Linked DNA regions of Anolis sagrei. The protein of the gene in region 1 purifies or fractionates together with the protein of each later gene. This does not show direct contact. Links are inferred from orthologs where the notes say so. Each region holds a gene or a part of one and is shown on either strand. Other genes may lie near its edges.

The links.
Region 2: the proteins of MRGBP (region 1) and EPC2 purify together in Homo sapiens (co-immunoprecipitation; 4 studies listed by BioGRID and IntAct, counting the BioPlex papers as one, with this or other methods). This does not show direct contact. The link is inferred for Anolis sagrei from reciprocal best matches to the Homo sapiens genes MRGBP and EPC2.

Annotation. Positions count from the first base shown.
Region 1 is NC_090024.1:234,245,822-234,258,256, forward strand, and holds the start of MRGBP (MRG/MORF4L-binding protein), read left to right. Parts: upstream 1-6,858; 5' UTR 6,859-6,925; coding exon 6,926-7,169; intron 7,170-10,409; coding exon 10,410-10,531; intron 10,532-10,915; coding exon 10,916-10,997; intron 10,998-12,435.
Region 2 is NC_090021.1:206,269,296-206,281,806, reverse strand, and holds the start of EPC2 (enhancer of polycomb homolog 2), read left to right. Parts: upstream 1-6,530; 5' UTR 6,531-6,838; coding exon 6,839-6,991; intron 6,992-12,511. UniProt on the Homo sapiens protein: May play a role in transcription or DNA repair.

The DNA.
Region 1 (12,435 bases):
CCTCGTGGGACATCCAGTCCAATCCTCTGCCAATAAGCATGAAAATCGCATTCAAAGCACTCCCAACAGATGATCATCCAACCTCTGTTTAAAAGCCTCCAAAGAAGGAGCCTCTGCCACACTCTGGGGCAGAGAGTTCCACTGCTGAACAGCTCTCCAGTCTCCAGGGCAGCAGAAAAGCTTGCTCCCTCCTCCTTATGACTTCCCCTAACATCTTTATCCATAACCCTCATCATGTCTCCTCTCAGCCTTCTTTTCTGGAGGCTCTTTAAGCCGCTCCTCACAGGGCTTCTTCTCCAGACCATTTTAGTTGCCCTTCTCTGGACACATTCCAGCTTGTCAACATCTCCCTTCAACTGTGGTGCCCAGAAGTGGACACAGTGTGATTCCAGGTGTGGTCTGTCCAAGGCAGAATAGAAGGGTAGCATGACTTACCTGGGTCTCTAGACCCTAGTCTCCTATTTATGCATGCCAAAATCCCATTGGCTTCTTTAGCTGCCATACCACATTTTTGGCTCATGTTTAACTTGTCCACGAGGACTCCAAGATTTTTTCACATGTGCAATTTCACACATGTAATTGATGGATTTACTGCATTATATGGAAGTGTAAATCTAACCTTATATTCCATGGTCCTGCATAATCTTGTCACATGCAAACCATGGTTACCAAAATATGTCTTAATCTATGAGGCAAACTGGTATATCCCCCCTCCCACCCAAGGATGCTCTTTTAATTTTGTGTTCACTTGCAACATTATATCTGCAGTTGGGTATTTTTTAATTAATGCCTTTATTATCTATGTAAGCAATCATTCAAATAATGATTTATATAAATACATTCCAGGGAGGTAATTAATTCCTCCCACTCACATGCATCCTCATCCCCATTGGAATTTGCTAAAACTAACATGAGACTGAGTCATGGATATCTGATATTTTGCCTACTTACCATATATAGTTGAATATAAGTCGATCTCATGGATAAGTTGGGGGCAAAACAGGGGCATGAAACAAAGGATGTAAAGTTAAAATGTGTTTTTGGGGTCTCATGATTTCATCCATTGTTTTGTTTTACTTTCATTTGTTAGATAATTTGTAGTCTAAAATAATGCAACGACTGATAATTGTTTTACATTTTGAGCTGTTTTATTTGCATCTATTTTGTTTTATTTGCATCTATTTTGTTTTATCAAATAAGAACAGGTCTTACCATTATGAAAACTGAGAAATTCTGTTAAGGAATTCACTGAATGATCTTTATTTATTTGTCATGAGATTTGCGTATTCCTTTTGCAGCTTGTACGTGAAGACAGTTTGCATTTTAATATCATAAAAATAGATTGATTCCTATTTGTTAGGCATCATTTCGCAGTAATTTAAAGGCACTCCTGAGAAAGATTGTATTATAATGGTGGGGAAGATGGGAGATAAATGTTGATATAAATGTTGAATAAAATAGCATTACTTAGGATGGGTGCAATCTACATAAAATCAGACTGTAACATTGGGAGTGGTCAAGATAGAAATCCGAATAATAAGATTTTGCATTGCATATAATGTACTGTTACATTATGATTATAGGGCTTCCAACATATAAGTTCTCATATACGTTGGAATCCCTATAAGTTGTACTAAATCTTTTCCAAAAAGAACTTGCAAACAGCTGGGGCTTTTGCAAAAAGCACAAAGGCTTGAAAATACATCCCTTCCATTTTATGTTCTCAGCCATAATTAGGAGTCATTGCAAATTTAAAGCCAAAGAGCATCTTGTTGTTTATTTGTTCAGTCGCTTCCAACTCTTTGTGATCTCATCGACCAGCCCAGGCCAGAGCTCCCTGTCGGCCATCACCACCCCCAGCTCCTTCAAGGTCAAGCCAATCACTTCAAGGATACCCTCCATCCTTCTTGCCCTTGGTCGGCCCCTCTTCCTTTTTCCTTCCATTTTCCCCAGCATCATTGTCTTCTCTAAGCTTTCCTGTCTTCTCATCAATGATGCCATTAGCGGAACCATGAAGGGACACCCAAGACAGGACAGTCATGGCAGAGAGGTCAGACCAAACGCGATCCCTGGGAAAGGTAATGGCAACCCACCCCAGTATTCTTGCCAAGAAAACTAAATGGACCAGTACAACCAAAAAGCATATTTAGGTTATCACACTAAGCTTGCAGTTTGTGTTTCAGGCTCCCTAACCATGAATGGAAAGGCTTGTCATCACACAACATCATTCTACTCATTTCAAACTGGTGTTCAGTTGGGGCCTCATCAATTCTACACTGATCATTTAATGCTGTTTGATGCTAGCTAGCTAGGTTCAAACTCCCTCTCTTTACAGGCACCTGAAAGTGCTTTGAATTGGTGTTCAAACTGTTTTCAGGTGGTGCGATAATTTAAAAGTGCTTCTGCAGTGGGTTTGGAGACAATGACATGTGATTATGGGTGTGTTGGTAGGCATCACTTTGAACTGCTTGACTATTCCATGGCCGAACTGCTTACTGTTTGTGAGCAGCACTAGGGGACCTCTATCGGCAGACATAACTTCCCTCTTTCACCCTGTTCCCTTCCTCCTCCTCCTCCTCCTCCTTCTTCTTCTTATCATCCAAGGAGCTATTGGAGGACCTATGAGTTTTAAAGGCCATTTTAAGTGTATTTATTGTATTTTAATTCTATTTTTTTAACCACACTGTTCCTATTTAATTGTTTTTAAATTTTATTGCACTTTTTAAGCTTGTCTAGTGTGGGATAGTTAGTCACTTTGAGTCACCACAGGGAGAAATGCGGGGTATAAATAAAGAGAAGAAGAAGAAGAAAGGAAGAAAAAGAAAGGAAGAAGAAGAAAGGAGGAAGAAGAAAGGAGGAAGGAGGAGGAAGAAGGAGGAGGAGGAAGGAGGAGGAGGAAGGAGAAGGAGGAAGAAGGTGGAGGAGGAAGGTGGAGGAGGAAGGAGGAGGAGGAAGGAGGAAGAAGAAGGGAGAGTAAGGAAGAGGAAGAGTAAGGAAGGAGGGAGGAAGGAAGAGGAAGAGTAAGGAAGAGGAAGAGGAAGGAAGAGGAAGAGTAAGGAGGAGGAAGAGGAAGAGGGAGGAAGAGGAAGGAAAAGGAAGAGGAAGGAAGAAGGAAGAGGAAGAAGAAGGAAGAGAAAGAAGAAGACGAAGAAGAAACTGCACAGTTCCAAAGGTAAAGCACTGAGATTTCTCATCTTAAGTATTTCCTTACTGTTTTCAAGTTGTTTTTTTTTAATCATTTTTGCAAAAGTTCCAGCCTTTTACTAGTCCTTTTTGCAAAAGATGCAGCACATGTATGTCCCTTTAGGTCTAGGCAAGCTTTGCCAATCAAAAGTATGATTCTGAATATGATTTTCCTGCTTCTTGGCAGGGGGCTGGACTGGACAGCTCACGAGATCTCTTCCAATTCTATGATTCTATAATTCTTTGATTCTTACTGCACCTCCTACTGGCAGAATACACAAATCTGGGCTTGTAATTACAAAATGTATGTTATTGTTGTTATTGTTAATCATTTCCTTTCTGTTTGCAAGTCTGTCTTGCAAAACATCCACCTCTTGCATCCATGGTACTTTGGGCTTAGTTTGCCAATCAAAAGTACATCTTTCCCTTACAGAATACACAACTTCTATTGTGTATTCTGCTCCTTACAGAATACACAACTTGTATTGCGTATTTGTAGTTGGTATAAACTTTAGTGTGTGTCTTATATTTGACGGCATCTTAGAACTGGAAAAATGTGGTAATGTGAAAAACTTGGTATAGCAAGTTGTTGAAGTCTCATAGTTGTGCTATTCTTCCAGAAAAATACATTTAAAAGGGGGACAAAGAGAAGGATTGAGAGGAGAAAAATTCCAGCAACTGTGGCAAGTGTTGTTGTTGTTCTCCTTCTTCCTCTTCTTCTTGTATTTGTCTGTAAAAGAAAACTCAAAGGTTTCTTCAAGTGCTTGCACATAGATTTGTGCCATAAGATCAGTTTGTTATCCTGGTCTTCCCCAGTTCAAAGCAAAATGGGTTTGCAACACAGAATCCATTTTTAGATCTTTGTTCAGAGAGGTCCTAAGTTTAATGCTCTGTGGTTTTTCCATTGGTGATGTTTAGCTGAACTTACTCGTGAACCCATTAACTTGCTTTAAGTGTTTGAAAGAACCTGTCATCATTATAGGTACACTGCAAGGTAAGTGCCAGTACTCTTCATTGCGGCTGGGTGTCTGAATGTGTCAACAACTTTCTTTCCCTCTTTGGTTCCTTAAAAAGGTCATTTGTGAAGTACGAGAAACTTCATCATTTGGAATTTCTGCTGGTGTTGTTGAATACCGCCTCAAAGTGTATCTATGATACCAGAGTGATTTGTGCTGCTTAATGTCAGCCGGCAGATTAAAAATTCAATTTAATAACAAACCACGGTAGTCTCATCTCCCAAGCAACACAGACTTTGCCTCATCTTTGTTGAAGCAAGCAACAAAGGACTTTATTTCTGTGTAAGCCTTGTAAAAAGAAACAAAGGACTTTATTTGACATGTCTTAATCTGACCCTAAGCTATGCCACTTTTACGAGACTCAACGGGTATCTTCTTCTACCAATTATGCAAAGTTTTAATTGGGAGTGTGTTTAGAAGCCCTTATAGAACGTAGGGGTAAACCCAGGCCCTTTGGGCTCTTTTCTCAGGCCCTCCTGTTTCTCACCATCCTATCCTTCCTTTCTTCTCTCTTTCCTTCCTCCTTCCCTCCCTCTTTCCCCTTCCCTTCCACCTTTTCATCCTTTCTTCCTCTTTTCTTCCTCCTTCCTTCTTTCTTTCTCAATCTCTCCTTCCCTCCCTTCCTTTTGTCCTTCCTTCCTACCTTCTCTCCCTTTTTCCTTCCTTCGCTCCCTTTTGTGTTTTCTTCCTTTTCTCTTTCCTTCCTCCTTCCCTTCCTTTCTTCCTTCCCTCCCATTCTCCTTCCCTTTCCATCCTTTCCATCCTTTCGTCCTTCCCTCCCTCCCTTTTTCTTTACATCCTTCCCTCCCACCCTTTCGTCCTTCCTTCCTTCCGTTTTGTCATTCCTTCCCTCTCTTTTTCCTTCCTCCTTCCCTTCCTTCCATCCTTTTATCCTTCCTTCCCTTTTGTCTTTCCTTCCTTTCCTCTTTACTCTCTCCTTCCCTCTCTTCCTCTTTCTCCTTCCATCCTTCCCTTCCGCCCTTTCATCTTTTCTTCCTTCTCTCTTTCCTTCCTCTTTCCCTTTCTTTCTTCCATCACCGGGCAGCCAGTCCTCCTAGCAGGGAATGATAGCATATGGTCCCCAAGTTAGAAAGTTTGTCCATGCCTGCCTTATAGTTCGATGCTCCAAACTACAGCTTAGTTTGTGTCTAAATCTGTAAACAAATTTATTGTGTGTGGTTTATAGCTATTTCACAGCTGGAGGTCAACTGTGACAAGCAGTGCTGCAGAATTTGAAGAGGCACGAATGGAGGGCAAAAGAGAGAAACGTGACAAGAGGAAGGTGTGTCAAGCCAACCCCGACTGGGGCCGCCTTCCACTTATGAACCAATGCCCTCACTGCCGCCTTCCACTTATGAACCAATGCCCTCACTGCAGGAGATATATTTATTTATCGTGTCATCCACAACCAGAACATTGTATTACATTTCTAACAGAACAAAACAAACAAACAGATAAAAAAACAACACAAATTTTGCAAACTTGGTAGCTGATTAAATGTCCTTTGACCAGTATCTGGCCACTTGGAGTGCCTCTGGTGTTGCCGCAAGAAGGTCCTCCATCGTGCATGTGGCAGGGCTCAGGTTGCATTGCAGCAGGTGGTCTGTGGTTTGCTCTTCTCTGCACTCGCATGTCGTGGATTCCACTTTGTACCCCCTTTTCTTAAGTTTGGCTCTGCATCTCGTGGTGCCAGAGCGCAGTCTGTTCAGCGCCTTCCAAGTCGCCCAGCCTTCTGTGTGCCCAGAGGGGAGTCTCTCATCTGGTATCACCCACGGATTGAGGTGCTGGGTTTGAGCCTGCCACTTTTGGACTCTCGCTTGCTGGGGTGTTCCAGCGAGTGTCTCTGTAGATCTAAGAAAACTATGTCTTGATTTAAGTCGTTGACGTGCTGGCTGATACTCAAACAGGGGATGAGCTGGAGATGTCTCTGCCTTGGTCCTTTCACTATTGGCTGCTACTTCCCGGCAGATGTCAGGTGGTGCAATACCGATTAAGCAGTGTAATTTCTCTAGTGGTGTGGGGCGCACACACCCTGTGATAATGCGGCATGTCTCATTAAGAGCCACATCTACTGTTTTAGTGTGGTGAGATGTGTTCCACACTGGGCATGCAGACTCAGCAGCAGAGTAGCATAGCGCAAGGGCAGATGTCTTCACTATGTCTGGTTGTGATCCCCAGGTTGTGCCAGTCAGCTTTCGTATGATGTTGTTTCTACCGCCCACTTTTTGTTTGATGTTCAGGCAGTGCTTCTTGTAGGTCAGAGCACGGTCCAAAGTGACTCCCAGGTATTTGGGTGCGCTGCAATGCTCCAGTGGGATTCCTTCCCTGGTAATCCTCAGAGCTCGGGATGCTTGTCTGTTCTTAAGGTGAAAGGCACATGTCTGTGTTTTAGATGGATTAGGGATCAGTTGGTTTTCCCTGTAGTAGGCAGTAGGAGCACCTAGAGCTTCGGAGAGCTTCTATTGTACCATCTCAAAGCTCCCTGCTTGAGTGGTAATGGCACGATCATCAGCATAGATGAAACTCTATGTCCCTTCTGGCAGTGGCTGGTCATTTGTGTAAATGTTGAACATGGATTATTATTGTGATGACTCAGTGATGGGAATCTGCGTTCCTTCTGAAGTGTAATACACGACTCGGCCTCGAGGGGGCGCTGTTCGCTAAGGGCGCTGCTGTGCGGCCTAGACGCGAGCGCGCATCCTCGGCCTGTGTTAGCGGAGCAGGCCATGGGCGAAGCCGAGAGCTCGGCCGGGACTGCGGCGGAGGGGAAGCCGCCTTGCCCCGCCGTGGGGACTGCGACGGAGGAGGAAGCCGCGGCGTCCACCACGGCCTTGACGACCTCCTCCTCGTCCTCTTCCATGGCGACTGCGCTCCCCCCGCCTCTGCCGCCTCTCCCCGCGCCGCCCGTGGTCTGGAGCCCCGAGGTGGAGGTCTGCCTCTTCCACGCCATGCTGGGACACAAGCCCGTCGGTGAGAAACAGAGCGAGAAAACAGAGCGAGAAAGGACCAGGCCGCAGATGAAGCCTCGGGCTCGAGTAGCTCCACTGCCCGAGGAGGAGGCGGGGCCGGCTGGGGAGAGGGTGGGAGGGAACTCCGTCTGTGCCTGCCTCTTTCTCTTCGGACTTCAACTCCCAGAAGCCTCTGCCGCTTTGGCCAATCAGCAGGCATTCTGGGAACTGAAGTCCCAAACCCCTGGAAGGCCCATTCGAATGAATGAATACAGTTTGACCCTGTCTTGGGATTTGTACTTTGGCAGAGAGGGGTGAAGGCCTGGTGGAACTACAACTCCCATGATTCCATAGCATTCAGCCATGACAAAATGCATTCAATCATGGGCCTATTGTAATGTTTACACATAACTTACACTCCCCCTGAAGCCACAGGTCCGCAGTTTGGGGGTCCTCTTGGATTCAACGCTCACACTTGAGGCTCAGGCGTCGGCGGTGTCTGGGAGGGCTTTCGCACAACTGAGACTCGTGCGCCAACTGCGACCGTACCTCGCGAAGACGGATCTGGCCGGAGTGGTCCATGCCTTGGTCACCTCCAGATTGGACTACTGCAATGCGCTCTACGTAGGGCTGCCCTTGAAGACTGGTCCAACGAGCAGCAGCCAGGATGTTAACTGGGGCTCCTTACAGAGAGAGGTCAACCCTCCTGTTCAAGGAGCTCCACTGGCTGCCATTTATTTTCCGAGCCCAATTCAAGGTGCAGTTGCTTACCTACAAAGCCCTGAACGGTTTGGGACCAGCCTACCTGCGTGACCGCATCTCCATCTACGAACCCACACGTTCACTTCGGTCATCTGGAGAGGCCCTGCTCGTGATCCCGCCTGCGTCGCAAGCGCGCTTGGTGGGGACACGAGACAGGGCCTTTTCCGTGGTGGCCCCCCGACTCTGGAACACCCTCCCCAAAGACCTTAGACAGGCCCCTACATTGGCTGCCTTCAGAAAGAACTTGAAGACCTGGCTTTTCCGATGCGCCTTCCCAGATTAGGAAATCTCCACTACCAAGTCCCATAAGCACTTTATCAGAACCAATGATTGCTGCACACCGCACATCGCACTTGCCCTAGAAGCCCTATATACACTTTTGATCTTGTACCCATTACTCTGGCCCGGCCCAGTTTTATTGTGTTTAGTGTATTGTGCCTGTTGTTTATTTTGCTTTATTCTGTTTTTAATTGTTTGATTTGCTTAGATTGTATTGTTGTGTTGTGTGTTGAGGCCTCGGCCTGTGTAAGCCGCATCGAATCCTTTGGGAGATGCTAGCGGGGTACAAATAAAGTTTAATAATAATAATAATAACTATTATTATTATAACAGGCCTAGGCAAATTGGGACCTCCAGGTGTTTTGGACTTCAACTCCCACAATTCCTAACAGCCTCAGGCCCTTTCCTTTCCCCCCCTCAGCCACTTAAGCAAGTAATTAAAAAAAACCAAAGACAATAAATTACACAACATTATCAATAAAACAACACATAATTAAAAACAGTGGGAAGGCCAAATGTAGAGTTAAAATTGGAAATAATGCTGGGACATGAACGCAAGGTGATACTGGTGTTTGTGGAAGGGCATATGAGCAGACTTAAAGAAATGTAAAGTGTATTGTCGAAGGCTTTCATGGCTGGAATCACTAGGTTCTTGTGGGTTTTTTCGGGCTATAGGGCCATGTTCTAGAAGCATTTCTCCTGATGTTTCGCCTGCATCTATGGCAAGCATCCTCAGAGGTAGTGAGGTCTGTTGGAATTAGGACAATTAGGACAATATATCTGTGGAATGGCTGGGGTGGGGCAAAGAGCTCTTCCCTGCTGGAGCTAGGTGTGAATGTTTCAACTGACCAACTTCATTAGCATTTGAAGGCCTGGCTGAGCCTGGGAAAATCTTTTGTTGAGAGGTGTTAAGATGTGCCTGGTTGTTTCCTCTCTGCTGTTTTGCTGTTGTAATTTTAGAGTTTTTTAAATACTGGTAGCCAGATTTTGTTCATTTTCATGGTCTCTTCCTTTCTGCTGAAATTGTCCACATGCTTGTGGATTTCAGTGGCTTCTCTGTGTAGTCTGAGATGGTGGTTGTTGGTGTGGTCCAGCATTTCTGTGTTCTCAAATAATATGCTGTGTCCAGGCTGGTTCATCAGGTGCTCTGCTATGGCTGACTTCTCTGGTTGAAGTAAAGTGGTTAAATGTAAAGCGCTTTGGAGGACAAAGTGCTATGGGATCATCCCTATATCACAGAATGTCAAGGCAGAAAATCCAAAAATACCTGCTTTGGACTGGGTTAACTGAGTCCACACTGCCATATATTCCATTTCAAAGCAGATAATGTGGGATTTTATTCAACTGTCTGGAAGGGGCTTAAGGCCCCTTCTACACTGCCATATAAAATCCAGATTATCTGCTTTGATTATATGGCAGTGTCGATTTACATAATCCAGTTCAAAGCAGATAATAAGACTGGAATAAGACTCTGTCCAGTTCTGTGCAAAGCACTCCAAGAAGAATATGGACAAGCTGGAATGTGTCCAGAGAAGGACAGCCTTGATGGCAAAAAAGTCTGGAAGCCAAGCCTTGTGAGGAAAGGCTTGGAGTGCTTAGCTTGGAGAAAAGAAGTCTGGGAGAAAGGAACATGATATCCCTGTTTAAATATTTGAAAGGATGTCTCATTGATGAGGAGGCAAGCTTGTTTTCTGCGGTTCTGAAGACTAGGACATAGAGCAGGACTTCAACTCTCACAATTCCTAACAGCTGGTAGGCTGTTAGGAATTGTGGGAGTTGAAGTTCAAAACTCCTGGAGGTCCAAAAGTTTGTCCATGCCTGCCGTAGAGCAATGGATTCAAACTGCGGGAAGAGAGAGCTCACCTACACATTAAGAAGAACTTTCTGATGGTAAGAGCTGTTCGGCAGCGGAATATGCTGCTGCTGGAGTCTTCTTCACTGGAGCTTTTTAAGTAGAAGCTGGGTGGCCATCTGTCAAGGAGGCTTTGATTGTATATCCCTGCCTGGCACGATGGGATTGGACTGGATGGCCTTTGGGATCTCTTCAAATGCTATGATTCTTTGTTATAAAATGTTCACTCACAAAACCTCAGTATCATTGGTCATAATCAGACACATGTTTTATTTATTCAATTCGGATATTTGCTTGTATTGCCTCCTATATGATGGTAAAGTGAACTTCAGCAAAAGATGCCTTTCTTTGTTCCTCTTTACCCATTAGGTGTGAATCGCCATTTTCACATGATCTGTATCCGAGATAAGTTCAGTCAAAATATTGGGAGGCAGATTTCTTCCAAAGTTATCTGGGACCACTTGAGTACCATGTATGACATGCAAGCACTGGTGAGTGTTTCCCCACAAGAAACAGGCTATTCCAGTGTTGTTTGTTGTTTGTATTTACTTTTATCTCTATGATTGACATGCAAAGCAGCTGAAAACAACTGAAAAACAGTAACTTAATATCTCCAGCGTATAAGTATTAAAACACAATTAAACATTGGTTTAAATCACTTAAACACAGTTAAAATACTTCATTTTAAAGCTTTCATATTTAAAGAGTATCTCTCATTTATTGTCAGTTTTCTTTGTTTTAAAATACTTGGAAATATTTTGCATTTGGGTGGTAAAATTTTATTTGTGAAGATACTGACTTTACATACTTTTTCATAAATATTCAATTGTCATTATAACTATTTCAATAACACTAGTATTTATGTTGTTTCCAAGCATGAGTCTGAGATTCTTCCCTTTCCCAACTCAGAAAAAAACTTCATTCTCCCTGAAGAAATTATCCAAGAGGTAAAAGAAGGTGAGATCCATTAAAGGCTTTTATATCAGTGCCATGTGTTGTTTATATACCACAGTTTTGAACTTGGGGCTCTTCTACTATGTTTAGTCTTTTTGACTGTACTTCTCCACATCTCTACTCAGACCTTAGTAGTTTTAAAGCCAATGTATGTGCGTATGAGGTTGAAGCCTTATAGTACAGTTCAGCTATTTCTGTTGTCTGCATTCAAATTATTTCCAACTTATAGTGGCCTTGAGGTGAACCAGTCATGGAGTCTATTTGGCAAGATTAGTTCAAGGGAAAATGGCCATTATTTTCCTCTGAGTGAGTCTAGCCCAAGGATAGATTTCCATAGGTTTCATAGAGAGATTCCATAGATTTGAAAGGCTACAGATATGCCCTTGTGTGCTTGATAGGCCTTTCCTCAGATAGGTATATTTGGAACTTCTTAGGAAATACTTAGAAAAGACCATATATGATTTAAAATACGGTAGTTTTCCAAACTATGTGTTCAGCTTCAGTGTGTAGGTGTGTTATGTGAACATAAGGAGACTATAACAAAAATTTTGGAAATGTATATTATTATCTTACAAATCATATATTATTTTAAAAGCTTATATAAATCAAAGGTTTGCATCAGATATGGTGTCCTCTTATGTTTCGTTATGACTATTTATGTACGTGTCCGTATTTCTTATAAGGGGTTGGTTAACCTCTAGTTTGCCCGTAAACCTGAATTACTGTGTCGCCAAATGAGGCATGTCTAAAAGGTGTGTCACTAACATGAAATATTTGAAAAGTTCTGCATTTGGTGGTTTGGTGGACCACCAAACGCAGCATTGCCCAGACACAAATCAAGGAACATGAAAGGCACTGCAGACTAACTCAACTAGAGAAGTCAGCCATAGCAGAGCACCTGATGAACCAACCTGGACACAGCATATTATTTGAGAACACAGAAATGCTGGACCACTCCAACAACCACCATGTCAGACTACACAGAGAAGCCATTCAAATCCACAAGCATGTGGGCAATTCCAACAGAAAGGAGGAAACCATGAAAATGAACAAAATCTGGCTACCAGTATTATAAAAAAATCCTAAAATCAGGACAGTAAATAAAGAGCAACACTCAAAACAACAGGGGCATTCCAGAAAGGAAAATTCAGGGCCAGCTAAACTCTCCCAACAAAGGATTCTCCCAGGCAGCAACGCGCCAGGCATTGAAGCTGCAAGGCCATTGAATGCTAATCTAGGTGACCATTTGCAACATTCACACCTGTCTCACACAGACAAGGGATCTTTCTTCCACCTTGGACATTCCATATATCTGTCTGTCTGTCTGTCTATCTATCTATCTATCTTGCCTAGTTTCCAACAGACCTTACAAGCTCTGAGGATGCCGGCTAAAGATGTGGGCGAAATGTCAGGGGAGAATACTTTTGGAACATGGCAATAC
Region 2 (12,511 bases), on another chromosome or scaffold:
CAATTTAAACCCTTTTCGCTGTTGGGGTTTGTCTGGCAAGTGTGTAAGTATGTTCAAAATGTTGAAATTGGGAGGATAAATTAGTAGATTTTCAGCTGTGATGCTAAAGTGGAAATTTGCTGCTGTTACTGTTTGGGTTCCCAATCTCCTGTTCTCTTGGGAAAGGTACAGCTAAGGAAAAATCAAGTTGAGCTACCAGAAGTTAAGGGTGAGATCCCCACCAACCTGGCACTCAGTAACTCCATTGCAAGCTCTCCAGGCAGTTTGTGGGGTGCATCTACACTGCAGAACAGGCATGGACAGACTTTCTAACTTGGGGGCCGCGTACTAGCACTTCCTTCTAGGGGGACTGGCTTCCGGGTGACAGAAAGAAGGAAGGGAAGGAGAAAGGACAGAGAGAAGGAAGGAAAGACAAAAGGAAGGAAGGGAAGAATGGAAGGAGAAAGAAGGAGAGAAGGAAGGAGGGGGGAAAGAGGGAAGAAAAGACAAAAGGGAAGGATAGAAGGAATGATGAAAGGGTGGAAGGGAAGGATGAAAGGAAGCAAGGAAAGGAGGAAAGAGAAAGAGAAGGTAGGAAGAAAGGGAGGAAGAGAAGGATGGATGGATGGAAGGAAGGAATGGAAAGATAAAGGAAAGAGAGAAAGAAGGAAAGACAAAAGGGAAGGAAGGAAGGGAGGGAAGGAGGGGGGAAGGAAGGAAGGAAGGGTCGAAGGGAAGGATGGAAGGAGAAAGAGGGAGGGAAGAGAGGAGGAAGGAAAGAGATAAGGAAAGTCAAAAGGGAGGGAAGGGTGGAAGGGAAAGATTGAAGTAAAGAAGAAAGAAGGAGGAAGGTAAGAGAGCAGGAAGGAAGGATAAAAGATTGGGAGGAAATAGAAGGAAGGAGAAAAAGAGAGGGAAGGAAGAGAGGGAGGATGAAGGAAAGACAAATGGAGGGAAGGAAGGAGTAAGAGGGAAGAAAGGAAGGATGAAAGGGTGGAAGGGAAGGAGAAAGAGGGATGGGGAGGAAGGAAAGAGAAAAGGAAGGCTAGGGTGATGAGAGAGAGGAGGCCTGAGGGAAGAGCTCAAGTGGCTGCATCTGGAACCGCTTCAACTGCTGTGGGAGTAATAGTTTGGTGAGGCATCAGCAGGCTTTGGCATAGAAAGCTGATGACCTTGTAAAACTATGACTCCCAGGATTTATTGCATTCAGCAATGGTAGTTAAAAGTGGTATCAAACTGAATTAATTCTACAGAGTAGATTCATCCTAGGACTCTAGTTCCTCACAGTACTAGTCAGTTTTGTTGGGAACAATTCATCAAAGCCTGAAGAAATTATTATTATTATTATTATTATTATTATTATTATTATTATTATTATTAATTATGGGTTATTTACCTTTTCTCTAACAAATGGGGAGTTAGAACAAACCACATGGAATCTGATCTCAGGTAAAAGAACATGCTGACCAAACCTTTCATTATTACTATTGTCTGAAAACCATTGCTCTTTTTAAAAATCGTGTCAGAAGCAACTTGAGAAACTGCAAGTCGCTTCTGGTGTGAGAGAATTGGCCATCTGCAGAGACGTTGCCCAAGGGACGCCTGGATGTGTTCCCATCCTTGGGAGGATTTTCTCATGTTCCCACATGAGAAGCTGGACCTGACACCCCATCTTGCGGATTCGAACTGTCAATCTTCAGGTCAGCTGGCATAAGGGTTTAATCCATTGCACAACCGCGGCTCCTGATTTCACCATTGCTTTGATTTCACATGGACCAGATTTATGTAAGGTTTACCAGAGTCTTCACTGCTGCCAGGCAGCTGCCTAAGCCCTGTTGTTCTGTTTCATTTGAACATTTTCATCTAAAATAATACATTTCAGCTACCTTTTGCCCTGATTGGAGAGACACCTTGTAGGTAAGCACTATCATTGGCTACCTCCTACAATGCTTCAACAATCAATTTCTTCTCTTTAGCTATATCTTTCTAGTTTCTATCTAGCTTGTAAAATATGCCACCAAAACAACCTCCTAAGTCTTTCAGTTAATTGGCAATTCAGTTATCTTTCTGGCTGTTAACAATAGATTTGTAAGAACTCATTTACAGACAACTAGAGGCAATGAAGGTGTGACTAAGATTCATTGTAATGATAACTTAAGAAGTAATGTGTTGTCCAAGGCTTTCATGGCCAGAATCACTGGGTTGCTGTGAATTTTCCAGGCTGTATGGTTATGTTCCAGAAGCATTCTCTCCCGATGTTTCACCTGCATCTATGGCAGGCATCCTCAGAAGTTGTGAGGTCTGTTGGAAACGAGGTAATTAGGGTTTATATATTCAGGGTGAGAGAAAGAACTCATGTCTGTTTGAGGCAAGTGTTAATGTAACAATTGGACACCTTGATTAGCATTAAATCACCTTTCAGCTTCAAGGCTTGGTTGGTTGCTGCCCGAGGAAATCCTTTATTGAGAGGTGTTAGCTGGCCCTGACTGATTTGTGTCTGGAATTCCTATATTTTCTGAGTGTTGTTCTTTATTTACTGCGCTGATTTTGGAGGTTGTTTTTTTTTAAAAAAAATACTGGCAGCCAGATTTTGTTCATTTTCATGGTTGCCTCCTTTCTGTTGAAATTGTCCACATGCTTGTGGATTTCAATGGCTTCCCTGTGTTGTCTGACATGGTGGTTGTTCAAGTGGCCCAGTATTTCTGTGTTCTCAAATAATATGCTGTGTCCAGGTTGGTTCATCAAATGCTCTGCTACGGCTGATTTATCTGTTTGAGGTAGTCTACAGTGCCTTTCATGTTCCTTGATTCGTGTTTGGGCAATGCTGCAATGTTTGGGCAATGGTCCCTATGTAGACTTGTCCACAACTGCATGGTATATGGTAGACTTCTGCAGAAGTGAGAGGATCCCTCTTGTCCTTTGCTGAATGAAGCATCTGTTGGATTTTTCTTAATGAGTCTGTAGACCGTTTGTAGTTTGTGTTTCTTTATCAGCTCTCCTATGCAGTCAATTGTTCCCTTGTCTGGCAGTAAGCAGCCAGACTTTGAAGCTGAAAGGCTATTCAATGCTAATATAAGGTGGCCAACTGCAACATTCACACTTGTCTCAAGCAGACAAGAGTTCTTTCTCCCACCCTGGACATGCCACAGATATATAAATTCCTAGTTTCCAACAGACTTTTTTCGGGCTGTATGTCCATGTTGTAGTAGCATTCTTTGGCAGGCATCCTCAGAGGTTTCTTCTTGCACTACTTTGTGTGTCTTTCTGTCCAGTGGCCACTATAGAATGAATGCAGTTTGCCACCATCATTTTTAGCTGCCAAGACCCATTGTTCCGGAATCCTGGGAGTTGTAGTTTTACGAGCTCTCTAGCCTTCTCTGCCCGAGAGCGGCAGTGCTTCACCAAACTTCAATTCCCAGGATTCGATAGCATTGAGAGATGGACATTAAAGTGGTATCAAACTGCATTTATTCTACAATGTATATGCACCCTAACTTTTCAGCAAAACACACATTTGCTATCTCTATCTATTTATCTATCTATGTGGATTTAATGTCCATAATAATTGCATGATTTTTAAAAGCTTCTATCTATTATGTGCATTTATTTTTAAATCTGCCTTGGGCTATTTATGTGCACTTTGTCCCAAAGGACATCAGCTTGTAGCATCCAGATGCTTAAAGTAACTGATAATATTTACTTGTTAGAGAGTATTTAAGTGTTGAGAGACATTGCTAGGAGCAAGGGTTTTGGTATTGGAAAAGTGCTTTGGAAAATAATGAAAACCTTCCTATTAATGTGCAGCAAATCTCAGCCTCGGAGGAAGATGGCAAATCTCCATCCAATGAATTTTGTCAAGAAAATCCTGGTAGTTCCTATCAAATATTTCAAGACATAATTTGTGGGAATTTAAGGTGTAGTTAAAATAAAACTACACCTTAAAAGTCTATTAGCAGCTTAGCGGGTTAAACCGCTAAGCTGCAGAACTTGCCGACCGGAAGGTTGGCGTTTGAATCCGCAAGATGGGGTGAGCTCTCATTGCTAGCCCCAGCTTCTGCCAACCTAGCAGTTCAAAAACATGCAAATGTGAGCATAATAAATAGATAGGAAAGTAATGGTGCTTCATGCACTCATGACCTAGGAGGTGTCTATGGACAACGCCGGCTCTTTGGCTTAGAAATGGAGATGAGCACTACCCTCCAGAGTTGGACTCAATTAGACTTAATATTAAGGAGAAACCTTTACCTTTACATAAACTAAAAAAAAGTTTGATTGAAAATGTTTTTTCAATCAAAAGGAGTTACTTATAAATTTTAAAAAAGCTATGACAACTAAATTTGATATTTGAATCAGAAGCATAGCTATTTATTTTGAGAGTAGTTTTCTGAGCTGTCACTAGAGCACATACCACAATACCCACACTTTGCTTTCCCCCCGCATTGTTCTGCATCTCACCCATTTAGTGTCCTCGGTTATCATTCTGATGTTGTCTCCCTTCTTTTTTGTCAAGCAACCTTCATGCAACCTTCATGAAGCTAAACAGACCATACTGTTCGGCTTGGCTGAAAATAGTGCTCCAGCAACCCACGTTTGTCGAGGTTCTCTGTCCATATCAATCCTCAACCCCCATGTCTATTTTCCTTTGATGGCAATGACTGTGGCCAATGGCTTGTTTTAAGATCTATTCACTGTGTATCACGCAATATTACAAAACTGAGATAAAATGTGAAATTTTATCTCACTCTTCCACTTTAAGAAATATCAGAGATAGATAAGTCCTTTCTTAAAATGCTAGGCTCGTGTGCAGATGGCAAATAATTCAACACTTGTTTCAGTATAATTTTATGAGAATAAATGAAAGAGTGTATCTACACTGTAGAATGAATGCAGTTCGGCACCACTTTAATTGCCATGGCTCAATCTATATATATATTAGTCTGAGAGTGTCTCTCATATATATATGTGTGTGTGTGTGTGTGTGTGTGTGTATACATTTACTTTTTTAGTCTCTCTGAGTATCTCTCAATTATGTGTGTGTTTATATATATACTGTATATGTGTGTGTGTTTATATATATACACATATATGACAGTCTAAAAAAGTAATTATATATATATATATATATATATATAATTACTTTTTTAGACTGTCTGTCATATATGTGTGTGTGTATACACTTTTAGCCTCTGAGTGACTCGCAGTTGTGTGTGTGTGTGTATATATATATATAATTTACTTTTTTAGACTGTCTCTCATATGTGTGTGTGTATTTGCTCTTTTAGTCTAAGAGTGTCTCTCAATTATGTGTGTGTATATATATTACTTTTTTAGACTGAGTGTCTCTCATATATGTGTGTGTGTATTTACTCTTTTAGACTCTCAGAGATTGTCTCTTAATTACGTGAGTGTGTATATTTACTTTTTTAGACTGAGTGTCTCATGTATATATATGTATGTGTGTGTGTATTTACATTTTAGTCTGAGAGTGACTCTCATTTATATGTGTGTATATATATATGTATATAAAATTTACTTTTTAGAGTGCCTCATATGTGTGTGTGTATTTACTTTTTAGTCTGACAGTGTCTTTCAATTATGTGTGTGTATATATATATATATTAATTACTTTTTAAGTCTGAGTCTCTCATATATGTGTGTGTGTGTTTATTCTTTTAGTCTGAAAGTGTATCTCATGAGTGTATGTGTGTGTGTGTGTGTGTATATATATATATATATATATATATATATATATATATATACTTTTTAGAGTCTCTCTCATATATATATGTGTGTGTGTGTTTATTTACATACTGGCCATCCCCTGCCACACGTTGCTGTTGCCCAGTCTGTGTATGTGTTTTGTCTGTGTATTTGTGTATATATGTGGTTTTGTGCATGCATTGTATGTTTTTTTTAAGTCTCTTCTGCTGTGTTTTTCAGTGTTTTTATGAGTGGTGGTCACTCATTGGCCTGATAGGTGCCTTGTGTCCAGATTTGTGCCCCCACATTACTACCCATTGCACACACCATATCTATATATGTCTATTTATTTGTGTGTGTGTGTGTGTAGGAGAGACAATTTCAGACTAAAAAAAAGTAAATGTTAATTTGTCTATATAAATAAAAATGTAATGTTCATTTGTGGGATTAACATAACTCAAAAACACATATAGAGCTAAATTAACATTTACTTTTTGAGTCTGAAAGTGTCTTTGGTAAACACACACACACAAATATATATAGATATACAGTGTGCAATGGTTATTAATGGCTTTTCCCTGGGAGCATCCCAGTGTGGTCCATTCCCCTTAATTCCTCCAGCCTCTCTCTCTCTCATTCGCCCAGCCTTCCCTTTCTCTCTCCCCTTCGCGAGGCAAGGCTGCGCGCGCACCCTCCCCCCCCTCCTCCTCCTCTAGTCCCCCCTCCCTCTCTCCTTCTCTTTCTCTTTTTTTTCTTTCCTCCTCCTCCTCCTCCTCCTCCTCGGAGAGCGCCCCCTCCCCTCCCCTCCGCCCGCGCGCGCTCTCTCTCCCTCTCCTTCTCGTTCTGTGTGTGTGTCTCGCGCTCTCGCTCTCGCGTTGGCTGCCGGGATCGCTGGCCGCTTTGGTTAATGTCCGCCATGTTTGCCATGGCGCAGGGAGCGGGTCGAGCGCGGAGCTAGGGCTGCGGGCGGCTCTGGGCGGCGGGGCTCTCCATGGTGTGTCGGGCCGGGTCCGGGAGCGGCTGGGAGGCGGCGGAGGAGGCCGAGGAGGCGGCGGAGGAGGCGGGCGCGGCGCCGCCGTCGTCGTAGCGCAGCCCCCCTCCCTTCCGCGCCCCCCCCTCCCTGCCTGCCTCCGGGTGCTGGTTGTGAGGGAGCGACACCATGAGCAAACTCTCCTTCCGCGCCCGGGCGCTAGACGCCGCCAAACCGCTGCCCATCTACCGCGGCAAGGACATGCCCGACCTCAACGACTGCGTCTCCATCAACCGCGCCGTGCCGCAGATGCCCACCGGCATGGAGAAGGAGGAGGAATCGGTGAGCCAGGGCTGAGGGCCAGGGGCTGGGGTTGGGGCTGGGGGGGGGGGGCTGGAGTGCGCCGCCGCCGCCATTGTTTATCAGGCCTTTCCCCCTCCCTCCCCTCGCGGGGGAAGGAGGCCATTGGCATTCACCAAGCGCCGCTACGCACGCTCCCCGCCGCTGCGGCGCGCGCTCCCTATGGGGTCCTACGCCAGCGGCGCAGCGTAAGCCCCGCTCCGGCACCGTAAGCCGGGCCTGCCTCCGCCATCTTCTTGGCGGAGTGTTTTGATGAGCGGAGGTGGGGAGGGGGGGCCCTCGCGCTACTGCCGTAAGAGGAGAGCAGCGCAGGCAGAGGCCCTGAATAGCAAAGAGAGCGCGCCGGGCGCTGCTGGCGGAGAGCGCGAGGCCTCCAGCCCCGGCTCCTCGCCGAATCTTGATGCAGAAGGCCCTGCCTGCTTCCTTGCTTGCTTGTTGTGTCCATGCTGACGCCGGCTTGTGAAAGTTTAAAAGTAGCCAGGCCTTAGGGAAGTGAGGTGGTTTTTTACGTCCTGTTTCCACAGGATCGGAATGCAACCTCGTTGTATCTATGAGGCAGTGGATGTGTTTGTATACAAATGCACACACACACACACTGGGGCTTTGATGCGTTTCTGTATGATCGTTGAGTCTATTAGGCAGGGAATGTGTTTGTATACAAATGCACACATACACTAGTGCCCCCGTGAATTTGTGGATACTTTTAATGCAACAACGTTGTGTTTACTAGGCGGTGAATATGTTTGTATACACTCACTGGGGCTTTGATGCATTTTATGATTTTCATGCAACATTGTTGTGTCTATTAGGCATTGGATTTGTTTGTATACAAATGCACACACACTGGAGCTTTGATTCATTTATATATGATTTTCATGCAACATTGTTGTGTCTATTAGGCATTGGATATGTTTGTATACACATGCACACACACACTGGAGCTTTGATGCATTTCTGTGTGATCGTTGAGTCTATTAGGCAGGGAATGTGTTTGTATACAAATGCTGGATAGTTTTAATGCAACAACGTTGTGTGTTTACTAGGCGGTAAATATGTTTGTATACACTCACTGGGGCTTTGATGCCTTTTATGATTTTCATGCAACATTGTTGTGTTTACTAGTCAGTGAATGTGCTGTATACAAATGTGCACATACACTGGTGCCCTGGTATATTTGTGTATACTTTTAATGCAACAACATTCTGTTTACTAGGTAGTGAATATATTTATATACAAATGCAGACATGCACTGGTGCTTTGAAGTATTATTTATAATTTTAATGCAGTGTTGTTCTGTCTATTAGGCAGTGGATGTGTTTGTATACAAATTTACACATACTGGTGCCCAGGTGTATTTGTGTATACTTTTAATGCACCAATGTTGTGTTAACTAGGCAGTGGATGTGATTGTATACACATGCACACACACACTGGGGTTTTCATGCATTTCTATGTGATTTTAATGAAATGCCGTTGTGTTTACTAGTCAGTGAATGTGTTTGTTTACAAATGCACACATATACAGGTGCTTTGAAGTGTTTTGTTCTAAGAGTGGTTCTCAACCTGTGGGTCCCCAGGTGTTTTGGCCTACAACTCCCAGAAATCCCAGACAGTTTACCACTGTTGGGATTTCTGGGAGTTGAAGGCCAAAACATCTGGGGACTCACAGGTTGAGAACCACTGTGTTATAATTTTAATGCAACATTGTTGTGTCTATTAGGCAGTAAATATGTTTTTATGCAAATGCACACATATACTGGTGCCCCAATGTATTTGTGTATACCTTTAATGCAACAATGTGTTATTAGGCAGTTGATGTGTTTGTATGCAAATACAGATACTCATTGGTGCTTTGATGTATTTCTGTATAATTTTATGCAACATTGTTGTGTCTGTTAGGCAGTGAATGTGTGTGTATACAAATGTGCCCATACACTGGTGCCCTGGTATATTTGTGTATACTTTTAATGCAACATTGTTGTGTTTACTAGGTAGTGGATATTTTTGTATACAGTTACACACATATACTGGTGCTTTGATGTATTTCTGTATGGGTTTAAAGAAGCAATGTTGCAGCTACTAGGCAGTGAATATGTGTGTATGTATACAAATACATGTACTGTTTCGCTGATGTATTTCTATATGATTTTAATGAAACAACCTGTCTAATAGGCAGTAAATGTATTTGTATACAAATACACATATGTATTGGCACACTGATGGAGTACCTTTCCATTCTCAGGTTATAGGGAACAGGGAGTTTAAACTGTCAGTAGTTTTGCTTGTTTGTGTAAAACACAAATAAAAATGTCCTGTCTCTGTGATTTGTGCTTATACATGTTAGTAAACAATCTTTGCTTATATTGTTTCTTTCTGTAACTGAAACAAAATTGTTTGCACAATCCTGTACATGTGTCTTGCAGATCATTATTTTTACCAGACTTAATCCCAAACATATATGTGTAAGATCAGCAGGATTGTCGAAGTGGAATCAAAAACAGATCTTTGAGTTAGTGTACACTGATAGGTAGGAGGAAGAATTAGGTTTGTATTGTTCTTATTGTTTTTATCGATTTTATCGATTTTATTGGGATAATGGCTTGAATTGTGGGAACTTTGAATTGTTGTACTTTTGTGATGATTGTTGTGTGGCAGGCATCTAAGTGTGCCTTGCTGTTGTAAGCTGCCCTGGGTCCCCTTCGGGGTGAGAAGGGCGGGGTACAAGAACCCCAAATAAATAAATAAATAAATATGTGTGCATAAAATTGCAGCCTGAAAACTAATTGTCAAAGACCACTGGTGCAGTTGGAACTGAACTGAGTCTTGAATAAAGTTATTTCCTCTTGATAATTGAATTCATGCAATGTGCTGAAGGTGTAAACACAATTTTTTCAATTTCTTCTCATTTCAAGTTGTGGAGTTTGCCATGTTATGAATGTTTTGGATTTTATTTTTAAATCCTATGTGTAGAATGTGCTGCAAGTGTGAAGAAGCAATTTTTTGTCAGTTCTCATCTGTGTTTCAGATTTTATTTTTATTTTCTGTTGTTATACCTTTGCAATGTCTCAGTTAAGATACGTTTTCTGTGAAAATATCTGATCTGTAAAATTGTGTTGCTTGGATACATGCTTCAACAATCTCAGTGTTGAAACATGTATGTTTCAGATGTTGACGCTGGCTTACTTCCTACAGACCAGCCCATAATGTGGTTGTGTTTGCATGCAGAATTGCTAGTAAATGTGTCCTCAAGAATTTCTTCAATGAAAAGCTATCTCCGCCTTACTGTGTTTTGATTGGATTCCCTGAGGTTGTGACTGTCAAAAAAAGGCTGCTCATTTTTGTGATTGGCTTTCTCTTTTGGCTGTTAAAATACGCAGGGATCATTGTAGCCTTTGATTTGTAGTTCATGGTTATAGCCTCAATGTTTTCTCCTTGCTCTACTGCATATTCCACACAGCTAATTCTCTTGTATCTTGTTGGGTGGTGAATTAATAAGTGTGTGTTGTAAATATAAACTACAATCAAGGTGTGTTTACAAATCTCTGGCCCTTCTTTCATGTTAGTTTATCTAAAAGAACAGATAGTTCATCCAACATATGAATGCCAATTTATGGAAGATGTAATAATAAAATTGCAAATACTTATTCCTAAAAATATTATTTTAAATATATACTTGTATGTACTATATAAATTAATTGGTAATTTTGCTGAAGCCATCTTCATAAAAAATCCCCAAAATGCTGCTGAATGTAATTTGTTACCGATTGTTTTGAAATTGTAAAGGCCTGATAAATTGCTCATATAAGCATAAATCTCAGTGTCAAATACTTTAAAAATAAGTTCCATTATTTTTAATGGAAACATATTTTGTAGTGAATTGGATTCCAGCCTGATAGTGCAGTCTTAATTGGGGAAGAAATCCACTGAATGGAACAAAATTAAGCAGGTTCAGCAATGCATGTTGAGTAGATTTTTAGTTGTGTGGTAGACATTATTTTGAATTGGATTTTCTTTTTATATGCTTTATATTTTGAGATAAAATTCACAATGAACTTTAAAAATAATTAAAATTTTAATACATTTTATGTGATTACACACTCATTGGTGATTCCTTCAAACGCAACTACTTATTCTCATCCATTATCCTACTCCATACTTGATACCCCCACCCACTAACTTCCAAGAAAACTTGGTCTAGTTATAGGGGTTTTTAGCTACTGGAAGCAGTTGTGAATCTAGTGCTAGCTGCAATATGTCAACTGCTTCCAAGCAGCAGAAAAGATGGGAGGGGGCAGGATGGTAGTGTACAAGTCAGGTATTCCAGCTGCTGGTGCTGACAAATTCTTAAAGAGCTCCTGGCCATGGTTCCCTAGCAAATATGATGACAGTTTACAATTATGGCAGGTGGCACTTTCTTTTCATTAGGGTGAAATTTGTTTGGTCTTTGCTGCTATCTCCTCTTCTCAAGTGTTTCTAAATCTGGGGGTTAAGCATTTACCTTTGAAATTATAGTCATAGTTTCATTGTAATATAGAGACAATGGAGTTGGCTCTATATTCTCACTGAGTTTTGCCTGTTCTTTTTTTTCGGTTGAAGAAAAACTTCAGGACAGTTGTGACTACCTCCGTCAATTGTGTGGTAATTAATGTGAAACAAGCAGTGTATTATAACCTTGTTTCTTTAAAAAACCTCTTTACCTAGTAATGTAAATTCATATACTTCTGCTAACTGTGAGGTACTGAAATAAAATGTGGAAAAAAACCCGAAGATGGATATCATGGCAAAAACACATGCTGAAATTTGTGTTACAGAATACCTTTATTGGGCTTAAACAGAGGTAACAAAATATTGCATATGTTTTTCCAACATCTTTATCAAAAGTGGTACATAGAAGAGTGAGGTGAAGGAGGAAGCAAGCAGTTAATAGCCTCTGCCTTGAATTTGTCTTTAAACTGAGATTGGAGGAGTCCTCAGACATTGAGATCAGATTATAGCGCCTATCAGAATAGTTCCGTTTTACACTGGGACCCTCCCAAGGGTTGCTGGAAGAAGGAAATAAGATTCCTGTGTCTTTTCATATATAAAGTAAATAAAATGAGTATCATAAACATAATAAAATGAGTATAAATAACATAATATACTTCATTGATGACAGAGTCACATCATAAACATATATTCTGTTGTCTTGCTTGTGTTAAACTGGAATTAGCTGTGTGAATCCAGTAGACAGAAATTGGCATTCTTGGAAATAAAGTTTTCCTCTATTTTTTGCTAAGTACTCAAAATAGCCCCTCTAATTTCACAAACTGGAATTGGAGAAAATAGTGTTTAATCTGGCACAACCAAATCACCTTGCACTTGAGAGTCATCTGAATGCAGCTGCCCATTTAATTAGCTGCCACTTCTGGATAATTTTTCCTGGGAACTGACACCTTTCAGTGTGGCCTGCCTACAGCAGGGTTTCATCTTCCACAGTGTTTGCATTCCACATGGAAGGAATTC